Oryctolagus cuniculus: one gene and its partner. The protein of the gene in region 1 purifies or fractionates together with the protein of each later gene. This does not show direct contact. Links are inferred from orthologs where the notes say so. Each region holds a gene or a part of one and is shown on either strand. Other genes may lie near its edges.

The links. Proteins that work in one complex are often made in the same cells at the same time.
Region 2: the proteins of TADA2B (region 1) and SUPT7L purify together in Homo sapiens (affinity purification with mass spectrometry; 3 studies listed by BioGRID and IntAct, counting the BioPlex papers as one, with this or other methods). This does not show direct contact. The link is inferred for Oryctolagus cuniculus from reciprocal best matches to the Homo sapiens genes TADA2B and SUPT7L.

Annotation. Positions count from the first base shown.
Region 1 is NC_091433.1:3,113,444-3,120,206, reverse strand, and holds the end of TADA2B (transcriptional adapter 2-beta), read left to right. Parts: intron 1-1,577; coding exon 1,578-2,570; 3' UTR 2,571-3,860; downstream 3,861-6,763. Other genes in the region: GRPEL1 (grpE protein homolog 1, mitochondrial), read right to left, coding at 4,905-5,251, 6,330-6,411. UniProt on the Homo sapiens protein: Coactivates PAX5-dependent transcription together with either SMARCA4 or GCN5L2.
Region 2 is NC_091433.1:175,345,574-175,353,006, reverse strand, and holds part of SUPT7L (STAGA complex 65 subunit gamma), read right to left. Parts: intron 6,989-7,433; 5' UTR 6,884-6,988; intron 4,585-6,883; 5' UTR 4,415-4,584; coding exon 4,002-4,414; intron 1-4,001.

The DNA of each region.
Region 1 (6,763 bases):
GTCTCCTGCACCGGAGCCCAGTGCTGGCTGGGTGAAGGGCGGCAGGCGGGGGACCAGGCAGGAAGGAGGCTGTGAAGCCTGCGCGAGGCCCCGGGTGCACCATCGCCCCTCCCACACGGCCAGGTCAGGGTCAGCCTGGGTGTGGCCCCCAGCACCAGGCCGCGCCGGCGGCCACACCCCTCCATGGGACCACGTGCCCCAGACCCCACTGCTGGGGTGGCGTGATCCCGGCTGGCCTTGTGCCCTGGTGGGGTTCCCCCGGAGGGTGCCGTCCTGACCCAGCACCGCACCGCACGGGGGCTGCGGCAGGGCGGGGGGTGGCCGTGGGCGCTGTGGGCTCCCTGGCTGTGGGACTGTGCGCACGCTGCCGCCTCCAGCTGTCCACCCCCACGGGAGGGGGCCCTGCTTCTGTGCACACAGTGCCGACAGGCCAGTGGACTGGTCCGGCACACAGCCAGTGGGGGGGCCGGGACCAGGTGGGGAGAGGGCACCTTCTGGAACCCACCATGGCTGCCCTGCAGCTCTGCTGAGGCCGGGCTCCTGAGAGGAGGGTGCGGGAGGCTGAGAGCTTCCCTGGGGAGCACGGCTCCTCTGAGCTCACGCGTGCGGGAGCCTCGTGCAGGGCCCGTCCCAGGGGCGCTGGGACCGCTTGTGGATCCGTGGGGGTGCAGCCATTCCACCCTCTGAGCCCGGGCGGAGGCCCCCAAGGGCCCCTACCCGACATGACCCTTTCCCTCCCAAGAGCCAGTGAGCGGTGGCTGGGGTGGGCCACCAAGGGCCCTGCCCTGATCCCGATGGGGCACCCGCGCGTGGGGCTCTGCGCCCAGCCTGTGCAGTGAGCAGCCTGGGTCACTGTGTGGACAGTCAACGGTGTGGCGGTCACAGTGTGGCGAGGGCTGTGTGGACAGTCCCCACCCGCTGCTCCGAGGCAGAAGCGTGGCGTGTCTCCGCCACTCCCACAGACACCAGGGCTGCGAGTGTCCCGGCCCCGCGCTGTGCTCTCCCTGCTAGGGCCAGGGCTGCAGCCTTGAGCCCACTGCACGGAGCCGCACCACGGAGCCCCGGGACTGGAGGGCAGGGCCCGGCGCCCGGCCCTGGCGGGTGGCCCACGGGGAGGCCGAGCCGTGGGTCTGTGGGCGGGCTGCTTCCCTCCCGCTGGGCCTCCGGGGGTGCCGTGGGGCAGGCGGCCGGGGAATGAGTGCGCAGTTTGGGCAGTGCCTGTGAAGTGGCTTTAGCGGTTGGCGTGGAGGAAGAGGCCTCTCGGCAGAAGGGAAAGATTGAGGGCTTGTACAGTTTCCTCCTCGAGAAGCCGCTGTCACGGGCTCCCTGCTCGGCCGCGCAGGTTCCCCGCCAGCCTCTCCGCCGGGCACAGCCAGCGGCCCTGCACCCTCGTCTGAACGGGGGCGTCACCTTTCCCTGCCCTGTGCCCCGGGCGGCCAGCGCCAGGGGGCTCACCCGTGGCCGTGGGCGAGTTTGCACCTTCACTTCCCCGCCTCGGAGACAGCGCGGGCTCCACGCCGGGCGGGCGGGCTCCACGCCGGGCGGGCGGGGCTGACGTCCAACCCGTGTCCTTGCAGGAGGACATGGCGGCTCACGTGGGCGCGTCCCGCACGCCGCAGGAGGTGATGGAGCACTACGTGAGCATGTACATCCACGGGAACCTGGGCAAGGCCTGCATCCCCGACACCATCCCCAACCGCGTGACGGACCACACGTGCCCCAGCGGGGGCCCGCTGTCGCCCAGCCTCACCACGCCGCTGCCGCCGCTGGACATCTCGGTGGCCGAGCAGCAGCAGCTGGGCTACATGCCGCTGCGCGACGACTACGAGATCGAGTACGACCAGGACGCCGAGGCGCTCATCAGCGGGCTCTCGGTCAACTACGACGACGACGACGTGGAGATCGAGCTGAAGCGCGCGCACGTGGACATGTACGTGCGCAAGCTGCGCGAGCGCCAGCGCCGCAAGAACATCGCGCGCGACTACAACCTGGTGCCCGCCTTCCTGGGCCGGGACAAGAAGGAGAAGGAGAAGGCGCTGAAGCGCAAGATCCCCAAGGAGGAGAAGGAGCTGCGGCTGAAGCTGCGGCCGCTCTACCAGTTCATGTCCTGCAAGGACCTGGACGAGCTGTTCGAGAGCATGCACAGGGAGAAGCTGCTGCGCGCCAAGATCCGCGAGCTGCAGCGCTACCGGCGCAACGGCATCACCAGGATGGAGGAGTCGGCCGAGTACGAGGCGGCGCGCCACAAGCGCGAGAAGCGCAAGGAGAACCGCGGCCTGGCCGGCTCGCGGCGCGCGCGGGAGGACGGCAGGGACGGCGAGTTCGCCGCCATCGAGCACCTGCCGGGCTTCGAGCTGCTGTCCGACCGCGAGAAGCTGCTGTGCAGCTCCCTGGGCCTGAGCCCGGCGCGCTACGTGACGGTCAAGACCATCATCATCAAGGAGCACCTGCAGAAGCGCCAGGGCGTGCCCTCCAAGAGCCGCCTGCCCGGCTACCTGGACAAGGTGCTCAAGAAGCGCATCCTCGCCTTCCTCACCGAGAGCGGCTGGATCTCCAGGGACGCCTCCTGAGCCCCGCCCCGCGCCCCCGGGGACGCAGGCGCGGCCGCCCCCACCCGGCCCGGCGTGACCACGCAGGCGCGGCCGCCCCCACCCGGCCCGGCGAGACCCGTGCGGCCGAGCTCGCTTCGGAGCGCATTACGAGGCTGCGGAACGGCCTTTCGTGTTGTGTGTTCTTCCTTTTAGGTACAGACTCGTGCCGCCGGAGCCGCCCGGTGCCACCGAGCTGTGCGGAGCCGCGGCTGCCCAGGCGCGGCGCCGGGCACGAGCACTTTACCGGAGGCCGCGGAGAAGGCGGGATGGCGCTTCCTTAGGCACCTGCTGGGCACGGCGACCGCCGGCCGCGAGCGGGAGCTGTCCTTCCGGCCCGGCCGGCCTCGTCCCCCACACAAGGCGCATCAGGAGGGGCACGCGCCCGTGGGCCCCCAGGGGTGTGTGCCGTGCTGAAGAACACGACTTCACAGGTTCAAGGCTGAGTTCTAGGCTCTGGCATTCGCTTCCTCAGGACTTTCATCACAGTTCAAGTTCCCTTTCCGCTTAGGACGCCGGCCGGGCCAGCTGGGCACCCCGCATGGCCGCCGCGCCGGGCCGTGCTTCCCGGCCTGCACGCTGCTTCCCGGCCTGCTGCTGCCTCCTGGGCCTCGAGGACGGCGGGTGGCCTCGTCCTGCAGCTCGCGGCAGCGCGGGGCTCTGGGCGCGGCTCGCCTTGGCGCCCGCGCTGGATGACCAAGCTACGCGGGAGCCAGGACACCTCCCTTCCAAGGACGAGTTGATTACGGTGCCTTTCCCTTCTCATCCTGTCCCCAGGTAGGACCTCAGCATTAAAGAGAAGCATTTCAGACCGGGCCCCAGCCAGCCTGGGTGTCGCTGGCTGCGTTGGCCGCCCCAGGGGCCCTGAGGGGAAGCAGGCCCGGGAGAGGTGTGGGGCCGGGCGGGAGCCTGTGCGCCGCGGCCTGCTGCGCCCTACGCCGAGGTAGGAAGTTTCCCTAGGCTTGACTGTTCAGCCACCACGATGAATGTATCATTAATTTATGTTGAAGTATTAACGCGTTCCAAGGGAGACGCAAGCTCAGGACCGGCTACTCGTCCGCCCCCGCAGCTGTCCGTCAGTCGCCCTCGGCGTTTTCTACCCAATTCTCGTGACGCGTGGCCGCCGCGCCCCTGGAGCAGCGTTCCAGCATGCGGGCCGGGAGAGGTGACTGCGGCCGTCTGCGCGGCCTGGGCGGCCACACCCGAGCATGTCCCGCGGTGTGAACTCCGAGCGTTTTTACCCCCTTTTCCACATTAAAGGAGTTGAGAACACTGTGCGCGCATGCTTCTCGCCACCTGCCCCTCGGGGCCCCCAGCCCCGGCCGCACTGCTGTCCACCTGCAGCTCTGGCCGACTCCCGCTGCCTCCATGCAGCCCGTGCTGGGTGAGCGCGCGGCCGCCGTGGGGCCCCGCTCGTGACTGGGGCGACTCAGACTCGCAGGACCTGCCGGGTGGGTGTCAGGACCGCTCAAGCCCCGTGAGATGGCTCCCACCTTGCACAGCGGCCACGCGCGCCCAGAGTGCTGCCCGCTGCCGTCCACGAGCCGTGGAGAAGGCAGCTCTGTCCGTGTCTCTCCAGCAGCGTGGGCCGGCTGTGCGCTGACGGGAGGGGCCGCACGCGCTCGCGGAAGCCTCCCTGCCACCGCCAGACGGACAGGGTGCGGTGCGTGTGGGCGCAGCCGGCGCTGTCCTCCCCGCCCACCCCCTCGCGGCAGGTTTCTGGCGGGGTCAGAGGTCAGAGGGCGGGACCGCGCCTGCGCCCACCCACGGGTCACCAACCACGCCCCAGCCCCCACACAGGCAGCGTGGGGGTCTCGTTTCTCAGCCACGTCCCTGCAGGCCTTTGAAGACCTGGATGAGTGGGCGGTCCCAGGCGTTCCCGCGGGCTGGCCCGGGGACCTCCACCCCAGGACAGAAGGCATCAGAGAAGAGAGACGTGAACTCCGGCTTTAATGCTCTCACACGAAGGGCCGGCGCGCACCCTCGCGCCCGGGGAGGTCCGCCGCCCTGCAGGCCGCTGGTCGGCGCCGGAAGCGCTTCTGGTTGCGGTGAGCGAGACCCAGGTGTTGTCGCTCCAGGGTGGCTGCCCGGACTCAGCAGGAAACACGCTTCGGCTCCAGCCGTTCCCGCGCTGGGCGCGCACACACTGCGGACGGACGGCGCGTGCGGGGACCCGAGCGACAGCTTTTATTGTGTTTGGGCAGAGACAGGGTGGCTCGCGCCAGGCGCCAGGCCGGGGGTCCCGTCCGCCCTCCGCGGCCACGGGGCCCGCGTCACCTGTCCCAGCAGGGTCCGGGGAGGGCGGCAGCCCCAGGGCTACGCCTCCTTCACCACGCCCACGAGCGCGGGCCTCAGCGTGCGCCCGTGCAGCTTGTAGCCCACTTTGCTGACCAGCGCCACGGTGCCCGCCTCCTTGCCCTCCACGGGCGCGTGGAACAGCGCCTCGTGCTCGTAGGGGTCGAACCTGGCGCCCACGGGGTCGAGCCTGAGCAGGCCGTGCTTGGCGAACACCTTCTGCATCTGCGCCTCCGTCAGCAGCAGCCCCTCGTACAGGCTCTTGAGGTGCGGGTTGTCGTCCCGCACCGCCTCCCGCGGGACGCTCTGCGTCGCCTTCTCCAGGACGTCGGCCACCTCCAGCAGGTCCTTGCAGAAGCCCTGGATGCCTGGGCGAGCGAGACGCGCGGCTGAGCTCCCGCGGACTGCGACCCCCGGGGCCCAGCACTGCCCCCTGACACGGGGAGCACTGCGACCCCCGGGGCCCAGCACTGCCCCCTGACACGGGGAGCACTGCGACCCCCGGGGCCCAGCACTGCCCCCTGACACGGGGAGCAGGGGGGGACACAGCACTGTCCCCTGACACAGGGGAGCAGGGCCCAGCCGGCTCCCTGACACCACAGGGCCCAGCACTGCCCCGACACGGGGGAGGGGAATACAGCACTGCCCCCTGACACGGGGAGTGGGGGGGGGGGGAGGACACGACACAGCACTGCCCCCGGACACGGGGAGCAGGGAGAGGACACACCACTGCCCCCTGACACGGGGAGCAGGGGGGGACACAGCACTGCCCCCTGACACGGGGGAGCGGGGGCCCAGACGGTTCCCTGACACCACAGGGCCCAGCACTGCCCCGACACGGGGAGCGGGGAGAGATCACAGCACTGTCCCCGGACACGGGGAACGGGGTGGGGGGACACAGCACTGCCCCTGGCACGGGGGACAGGGGCCCAGGCAGAGGGGAAAGTTAGTTTCAATAACCCCCAGGCCAGAGGGGGGCCCTGCGCGGGACCTCCCTGGGAACCAGGCAGCCGGGCACCCGCTGGTCCTGGGCCCCGGCCCGGGGTCTCAGTCTCAGGTCGGCGGGCACAGCCGGCCGCGCTCCACCTGCCGGCTGTCACGCAGGGGCCAGCACCCAGGAGCCGGGCGAGGCTGGACGAGACCTGGACCCTTCGCTCCCCCTTCTGAGCCCCCGGGGCCCCACCCGGGACAGCGGGAGAGCCAGCCGGGTCCCACAGGGCCCAGGGCCACCCACACTGGCCTCCCCGCCAGCCCCGCGGTGCGTGCCCAGGCGTCAGGCCTCGCCGATCTCAACCGTGAGACGTAGTGACCACGGCGCCCAGGTCGCTGCAGACAGACAGCGCTGGGGGCCTGCCGGGACCCCCAGAGGCCGCCCCCCCTGCCCTCCAGCCGCTGCGCCTCCCCGCCTCGCCCCTCCTGCCCTCCCCGCCCCTCCCCGTCGGGTACCGTAGAGCTTGGCCTCCTCCACCAGCTTCTGGCTCCTCTGCCGCAGGTTCTCGGTGTCGGCCAGGGCGCGTTTGTATTTTTCCTTTCAAGCAAAGGGAGAGCGGCTGGGACGGCTGTGGTCCCTCTGGCGCCTCCGCACGGCACCAGGGCAGCGTCGGGGAGAAGAGTCGGGGCGGGCCGGGACCCCCGCGAGGGCGCTGACGCCCCCGGCCGGCCAGGACGAGGAAGGCCGCCTTCCCGTGCGTGCCCGACTGAAGGCGGCGCCAAAGCCCCGCAGGGCCGGCCTTCTCACCCTGGAGGAAGCCTGGGGGCGCGGCCCCCGCCCTCTGTCTGCGGTGGGGCGCGGTGAGGACCGAGACACGCTGCCCACGCCCTGCCTCCCCGGGGACCCAGACACGCTGCCCCACGCCCCGCCTCCCCGGGGACCCAGACAC
Region 2 (7,433 bases), about 170 Mb from region 1:
GGGACAATGTTATAGCCAGGAAGACAACTTTACAATGGCAATTTAAAACATACATAGCTTATAAGATATTTTCATCCTACCCTATGCTGTGAAATAGCTAGAGTCCATACTGTTATTCTTCTGTTTGCCAGGTAAGGAAACTGAAGTTCACAGGGCCTGACTTGCCAAAGGTTGTTTAGTTACTAACAGCGGAGCTTTGGACTCCAGTTTCCATACTCTTCATAATTCAACATTTTGCCCCCTAATCACTGCTGTAGAATCCTCATCTAAGAAAATACTTCAAAAATGGCCTGATCTCCCAGCAATAGTAAATTTTTAAATTTTTATTTATTTGAAGGTCATAGAGACAGAGAGCTCTCCCCTCTGCTGCTCATTGCCCAGGTAACTGCAATGCTGGAGGCAGACCAGGCTGAATCAGAAGTCAGGGCTCATTCTGGGTTTCCCACATGGGTGGCAGGGACATAAGATTTGAGCCATGGCTGCTGCCTCCCAGGGTGAAATCTGGAATCAGAAGCAGAGCTGAGACTAGATCCCAGGCACTCCGATATGGGATGCAGGGATCCCCAGTGGCATCTTAACCATTGTGCCAAGTGTCCACGCCTAAAAAATAACTTTTAGTAAGTCTTTAATAATTTACCTCTCTCCTGAAATTTCCTATCTGACTTTTTCTGAAAAAAGTAATAGGGACAAGTGTTTGGCACAGCAGTTAAGTTGCCACTTGAGATGCCCACATTCTGTATCAAAGTGCCTGGATTCAAGTCCCAGCTTCGGGGCCAGCACTGTGGCATAGCAGGTAAAGCCATCGCCTCCAGTGCCGGCATCCCATATGAGTGCCGGTTCGAGTCCCGGCTGTTTGCACTTCCAATCTAGCTCTCTGCTATGGCCTGGGAAAGCAGTAGAAGATGGCTCAAGTCCTTGGGCCCCTGTGCCCACCTGGGAGACTAGGAAGAAGCTCCTGGCTCATGGCTTCGGATCGGCACAGCTCTAGCCATTGCAGCCAATTGGGTAGTGAACCAGCAGATGGATGACCCCTCTCTCTCTCTCTGCCTCTCCTTCTCTCTCTGTGTAACTCTGACTTTCAAATGAATAAATAAATCTATAAAAAAATAAAATCCTAGCTCTGTTGCTGATTCTGATTCCTGCTAATGTGCATCTAGAGGCAGCAGATTATGGTTCAAGTGTTGGGATCGTGTCATCCATATGGGAGACCTGGATGAAGTTCCCGGCTCCTGACTTTGGCCTGGCCCAGCCCTGGCCATTGTGGCCATTTGGGAAATAAACCAGCAGATAGAAGACCTCTGTCTCTCCCTCTCTCGTTGTAACTGTGCCTTTCAAATAATAAATCTTAAAAAAAAAAAAAAAAAAAGAGAGAGAGAATAGAAAATCACTGTTGCTTGGTCTGTACATGGAATGTGTTGCCATGTGCTGTGCAAGAGTGCCCGGGGCACTATCCACCCACTCTATTATCTGATTGTAGCTAATACTGTCTGTGAGACAACCAGTTGCTAAGTAACCTTTTTTGGAAAGATTTATTTATTTGAAAGGCATAATGACAGAGAGGAAAAACAGAAAAAGATCTTCCATCTGCTGAATCACTCCCCAAAAGGCCACAACAGCCAGGGCTGGACCAGGCTGATGCCAGGAGCCAGGAACTCCATATTGATCTCCCATATGGGTAGCAGACACCCAAGCATTTGAGCCTTCATTTATTGCCTTCCCAGGCATATTAGCAGGGAGTTGGATAGGAAGAAGAGCAGCCAGGACTCAAACCAACATTCTGATATTGGATGCTGGTATCACAATCAGCCGTAACCCGCGGCGCTACAACACCTGCCCCATAACTTTCTAATATTTCCATCATAATCGGGCCAAACACTAAAGGCTTCAGAAGTGCTTAAGAAACAAATCTAAACTAGTATCACTTTGAGCAATTTATAGGCCACTTGGAAAACAATTTTTTGTCACCCCAATGGCTGCTCCAAATTATTTTTGTTATAGTCTCTTAAATATGTATAGAACAAAACTAGGTAAAACTTTTGAAGACCAAAGCTCTTACAATTAAAATAGAAATGTCTACAGCCACTCCACCAAACTCATCTGATCTCAGAAGCTAAGCAAGGCCGAGCTGGTTAGTACTTGGATGGGAGACAACTAAAATAGAAATCTGACACAAAACTATAAACAAACCATCAATTTAATATGATAGACAGAATTTTGTTGGAACTATACATTGTACCTTGACATCATCTGGCCCAACTGTAACTGTTACATAGTGCGTCTATTTCTGATTTTTTTCTCAACAGTTTGGGATAACTAAAGTAATAACTATTATCACCAATAGGCCAATATAATAAATGATACACAGTATCACTTCTAAAGTATTCTTGCCAAACATCTTTAACCTGAACTTAATCTTGAGGAAATAATACACATACAGTGGGTGAGACATTCTGTAGACCCAATGATCCACGCTCACAGAGACATTATAGAAGAATAACAGCTAGATGCATGAATCTTTGTTAGGGGAAAATATACTTGTTTTTTTTTTTTTTTTTTTTTGGTTTTGTTTTGTTTTGTTTTTTGACAGGCAGAGTGGACAATGAGAGAGAGAGACAGAGAGAAAGGTCTTCCTTTGCCATTGGTTCACCCTCCAATGGCCGCCGCGGCCGGTGTGCTGCGGCTGGCGCACCGCGCTGATCCGATGGCAGGAGCCAGGTGCTTCTCCTGGTCTCCCATGGGGTGCAGGGCCCAAGCACCTGGGCCATCCTCCACTGCACTCCCGGGCCACAGCAGAGAGCTGGCCTGGAAGAGGGGCAACTGGGACAGAATCCGGCGCCCCGACTGGGACTAGAACCCGGTGTGCCGGCGCCGCAAGGCGGAGGATTAGCCTAGTGAGCCGCGGCGCCAGCAGGAAAATATATTTGTAAAAGATGTTGGTAGCAACTGGAGGAGTCTGAATATGGTCTTGTTAAATGGTATAATTTAATTAATGTTCATTTACTTTGGTGAGATAACAGTACAGTGATTATGTAGGAAGATAGATGCACACTGAATAAATGGATGAAATATTGAGATGTACGCAAATTACTTTAAAATGTTTGGCCAAAAAAAAGTGTGTGTGTGTCTGTGTGTGTGTATAGACTTTCACATACACGTATAAGAAAGTAAATGTGGAAAACTGTTAGCCACTGGTGAATTCAGATGACAGGTGTTTGAATGCTCATTGTACTACCGATTAAAACTTTTCTGTAGGTCTGACAAATTTCAAAATGGAAAGGAAAACAAAGTAATTATTTGGCATTCAATACACACTTACACACAGAAGTGTAGCAGTAGTGCTAGTCCACAAGGAAGTCATTCAGGCGTGTGGAGCAGGGCCTCTCACACTGGAGATCTGGAGATCTCGTGAAAACGCAGGCTCTAATTCCGCAGGTCTGGCAAGACCTGAGAGTCTGCATTTCTCACAAGCTCACACATGATGTTAATGCTGATGGTCTTGGGCCAGATTTGGGTAGCAAGAATCAAGGACTTTTTTTACGTTATTATTTTTTAAACTCTATTAGCAGAATGAAAATACACAGTTTGAAAAATTCCTGCATAGACTTGTGGTTTCCTAATAATACCTGTGTAAGCCCATGAACCACATTTGAAGACCCTGAGCTAAGCCCGTAACACTCATTTTATACTAAATACAAAGACTAGATTCTGAGGACTATGAAGCCATGGCCTATGGACTATGAAGCCAGTGCTCCTAGTGAACTGCCTGGCATAAAACAGGCACTCAGTAAATATTTGAGGCATCAGAAAATGAAAAAATATATTCAGGGTTTGGAAGATTGGGGTTCAAGGCTTGGATTTCCCCCAATATCCTGAGCAACCTTGTCCAAGTCAATTCCTCTTATCCTTCGTTTCCTCATGGGGAAATAAAAATGCTATTACAGGAATAACAGGTTATTGGAAAGATAACTCGAGAAAGGAAAGATACGGCAGTCTTGTCTTACCGATAAAAGTCACTCTCTGGATCACTGTGTCGGATCTGGAATGGTGCATTGGGGTTCTTACAGTCCAAAGGCAGGAGGTCATCGGGGAGAGGAGGTGACCCTGGGCAGGCGGGAAGAGGTTCACTCTCCTCAGTCTTTACACCTTCGGTCTGCTGCTGATTCTGGGCCTGAGCTGTGGCAATAAGGTTTCGAAGACGTCGGTTGTGCTGGATCAGCTGAATGGTGTGAATGGTGAGGCTGCACGGCTCTGAGGGGACGTCCAGCATGGTGGGGGGCTTGGGCTTGTTGGCAGAGGGCTGGTGCAGGGGTGGGTCATGGACTTCCACCAGACGGAACTCCCGGGGGAGCAAATCAAAGGAACTTCTGTTGGCCTGGTTTGACGACATTGGTATTTCTCCCCAGTACCTCAACATTTTGGAATAAGGGAAGAGTTCTCAGGTTCAATGTAGAGGATATCCTAAAAGTAATGTGTTTAGCTCTCTGGCCACTGTAGATTCTAGGCTTCTATAGTGAAAAATATGAAGTCCAGCCAGTTATTTACATAAAAATGTGTCAGACAAATGCAGGACCAAAGATGTTCTCCCTGAAAAAATTTGGAGAAATTTAGCTGTTAGATGCTAGCCATTATCACACCCTGATAACTCCTACCAGACAACCACATGGTAGAAGCTGAGTCATAGCAGACTAATAGCTGAAACAGTATCTGGGGCTCTACTGTCCGTGTTTTCCATCTCACCTTACTAACTCATTACCAGAACCACCATCATGCATGATACTTAAATATCAAGCCTCAAGTATTGTGCATTTTTTTTTTTGACAGGCAGAGTGGATAGTGAGAGAGAGAGAAACAGAGAGAGAAAGGTCTTCCTTTGCCGTTGGTTCACCCTCCAATGGCCGCCGCGGCCGGTGCGCTGCGGCCGGCGCACCGCGCTGATCCGATGGCAGGAGCCAGGAGCCAGGTGCTTCTCCTGGTCTCCCATGGGGTGCAGGGCCCAAGCACCTGGGCCATCCTCCACTGCACTCCCTGGCCACAGCAGAGAGCTGGCCTGGAAGAGGGGCAACCGGGACAGAATCCGGCGCCCCGACCGGGACTAGAACCCGGTGTGCCGGCGCCGCTAGGCGGAGGATTAGCCTAGTGAGCCGCGGCGCCGGCCTTGTGCATCTTTTTTAAAAGAATTATTTGTTTATTTGAAAGGCAGAGTCACAGAGAGGGAGAAACATAAAGAGATCTTCCATCGACTGGTTCATTCCCCAGATGAATGAACAAAGACGAGGGCTGGGCCAGGCTGAAGCCAGGAGCCTGGAACTTCATCCAGGTCTCCAAGGTGGGTGGCTGAGGCCCAAGTGCTCAGGCCATCTTCTGCTGCTTTTCCCAGATGCATTAGCAGGGAGCTGGACTGGAACAGGAGCAGCCAGGACTTGAACTGGTGCTCATATGGGATGTCAGTGTCACAGGTGGCAGCTTAACCCGCTGCACCACAACACCGGCCCCTTCTCAGAGTACCTTGACACATCTATGCCAGGTCAATAGGAGAAAAGGGAGTAGAATCAAAGAGATATGTGTCTGTCAAGCATGAGAATGTTTTAACTGCTGCTGGTGGAAAATTTATGAACTACTGATCTATACAATCTTATGATTTCAACTTCTGACACATCTAGAAAGGAGATTTCTGTTGCCTTCTAAGTGGTATCCCTTCTTCTAGTCTCTCTTGGATCTAATCTGTTCTCCACACTGCTGCTAGATAATCTTTCTTAAAGATTTATTTATTTATTTGAAAAGCAGAGAGAGAGAGAGAGAAACAGAGATCTTCCATCCACTGGTTCACTCCCCAAATGGCTGCAACAGCTGGGTCTGAGCCAGGCCAAAGGCAGGGAGCTAGGAACTCCATCCTGGTCTCCCACATGGATGGCAGAGGCCCAGACATTTGGGCCATCTTCTGTTGCCTTCCCAGGCATAGGAAGCTGAATCTGAGTGAGGTAGTAGGGACTCAAATCAGCACTCTAATATGGGGTGCTGCATCCCAAGCAGCAGCTTAACCCGCTGTGCCACAATGCTGGACCCTAGACAATCTTTTAAAAATGCAAATGTAGGGGCCTGTGTTGTGGTGCAGTGGGTTAAGGCATTGCTGCCTACACTGGCATCCCACATCAGAGTGCTGATGTCACTCTACTTCTCATCCAGCTCCCTGTTAATGTGCCTGCGAAACCAGCAAAACATGGCCCAAATGCTTGGGCCCCTGCCACCCACTTGGGAGACCCAGATAGAGTTCCAGGCTCCTGGCTTTGGTCTGGCTCAACCAGAGCCGCTGCAGGCATTTGGGGAGTGAACCAGTAGATGGAAAATCTCTTTCTGTCTCTTTCTCTCTCTTCCTTTTGGTTTTCTTTTCTTTTTTGTTTTATTTTTTTAAATGTAGCAGTTTTTTTAAAAAAAGATTATTTATTTTAAAGGCAGAGTTACAGAGAGGCTGAGGCAGAGAGACAGAGAAGGGTCTTCCATCTGCTAGCCCACTCCCGAAATGGCCGCAATGGCTGGAGCTGGGCCAATCTGAAGCCAGGAGCCAGGAGCTTCTTCCTGGTCTCCCATCTGGGTGCAGGGACCCAAGGACTTGGGCCATCCTCCACTGCTTTCCCAGACTTTAGCAGAGAGCTGGATCAGAAGTGGAGCAGCCTGGACTCGAACTGGCACCCATATGGGATGCCAGCATGCAGGCATGGCTTTACCCACTACACCACAGTGCCGGCCCCCCTCCGCTTTACAAATAAATCTTTTTAAAAAATTTAAAAAGCTCAAATCTAATGGCTTCCCATTACCAAATGGAAAAAAAAAATCAGAATTCTTTGGCTTACCATTCAACAAAATTCACAATTTGGCTTCAACCTACCTTTCTGGATTCATGGCCCATGTACCTCTTCAAGTCCAACAAACATTTATCGAATGCCAGGCATTACGCGAGGACAGGAAGAACAAGTAATGCAAGATCTCCGTCCTGAGGGAGGGAAACAGAATATTTGAATATAAAAGCACATGGAAGTGCTGTTCTAGGTGCAGTGGAAGCAGAAAGGAGCTCCTGGATAAAATGATCAGCGTAGTTCCCGCGATATTACCCTACTTAGTTTCTTGAGACAGCCATGCTTCTACAGTCGACCCTTTGAGCTGTGACTGATGCCAGAGATGCCCTTCCGTCCCCACAGCCCTGGCCGCCTTGCATTCATTCTAAGTCAGCACCCTCACCGCTTCCCCAGGACACCGCTCTACCTTACGTTCTCACAGCACTTTGCACAGCACAGCAGTTATCCCTGGATTTTAACTAGCACTTATGTCTGTCAACATTATTCTCCCATCTATCTTTTAGGGCCATACACCTCTTGTCTCATTTATTGAATGCTTACTCTACTCATATGCCAGTCTTCATCTTTATGGTTTAATCCCGT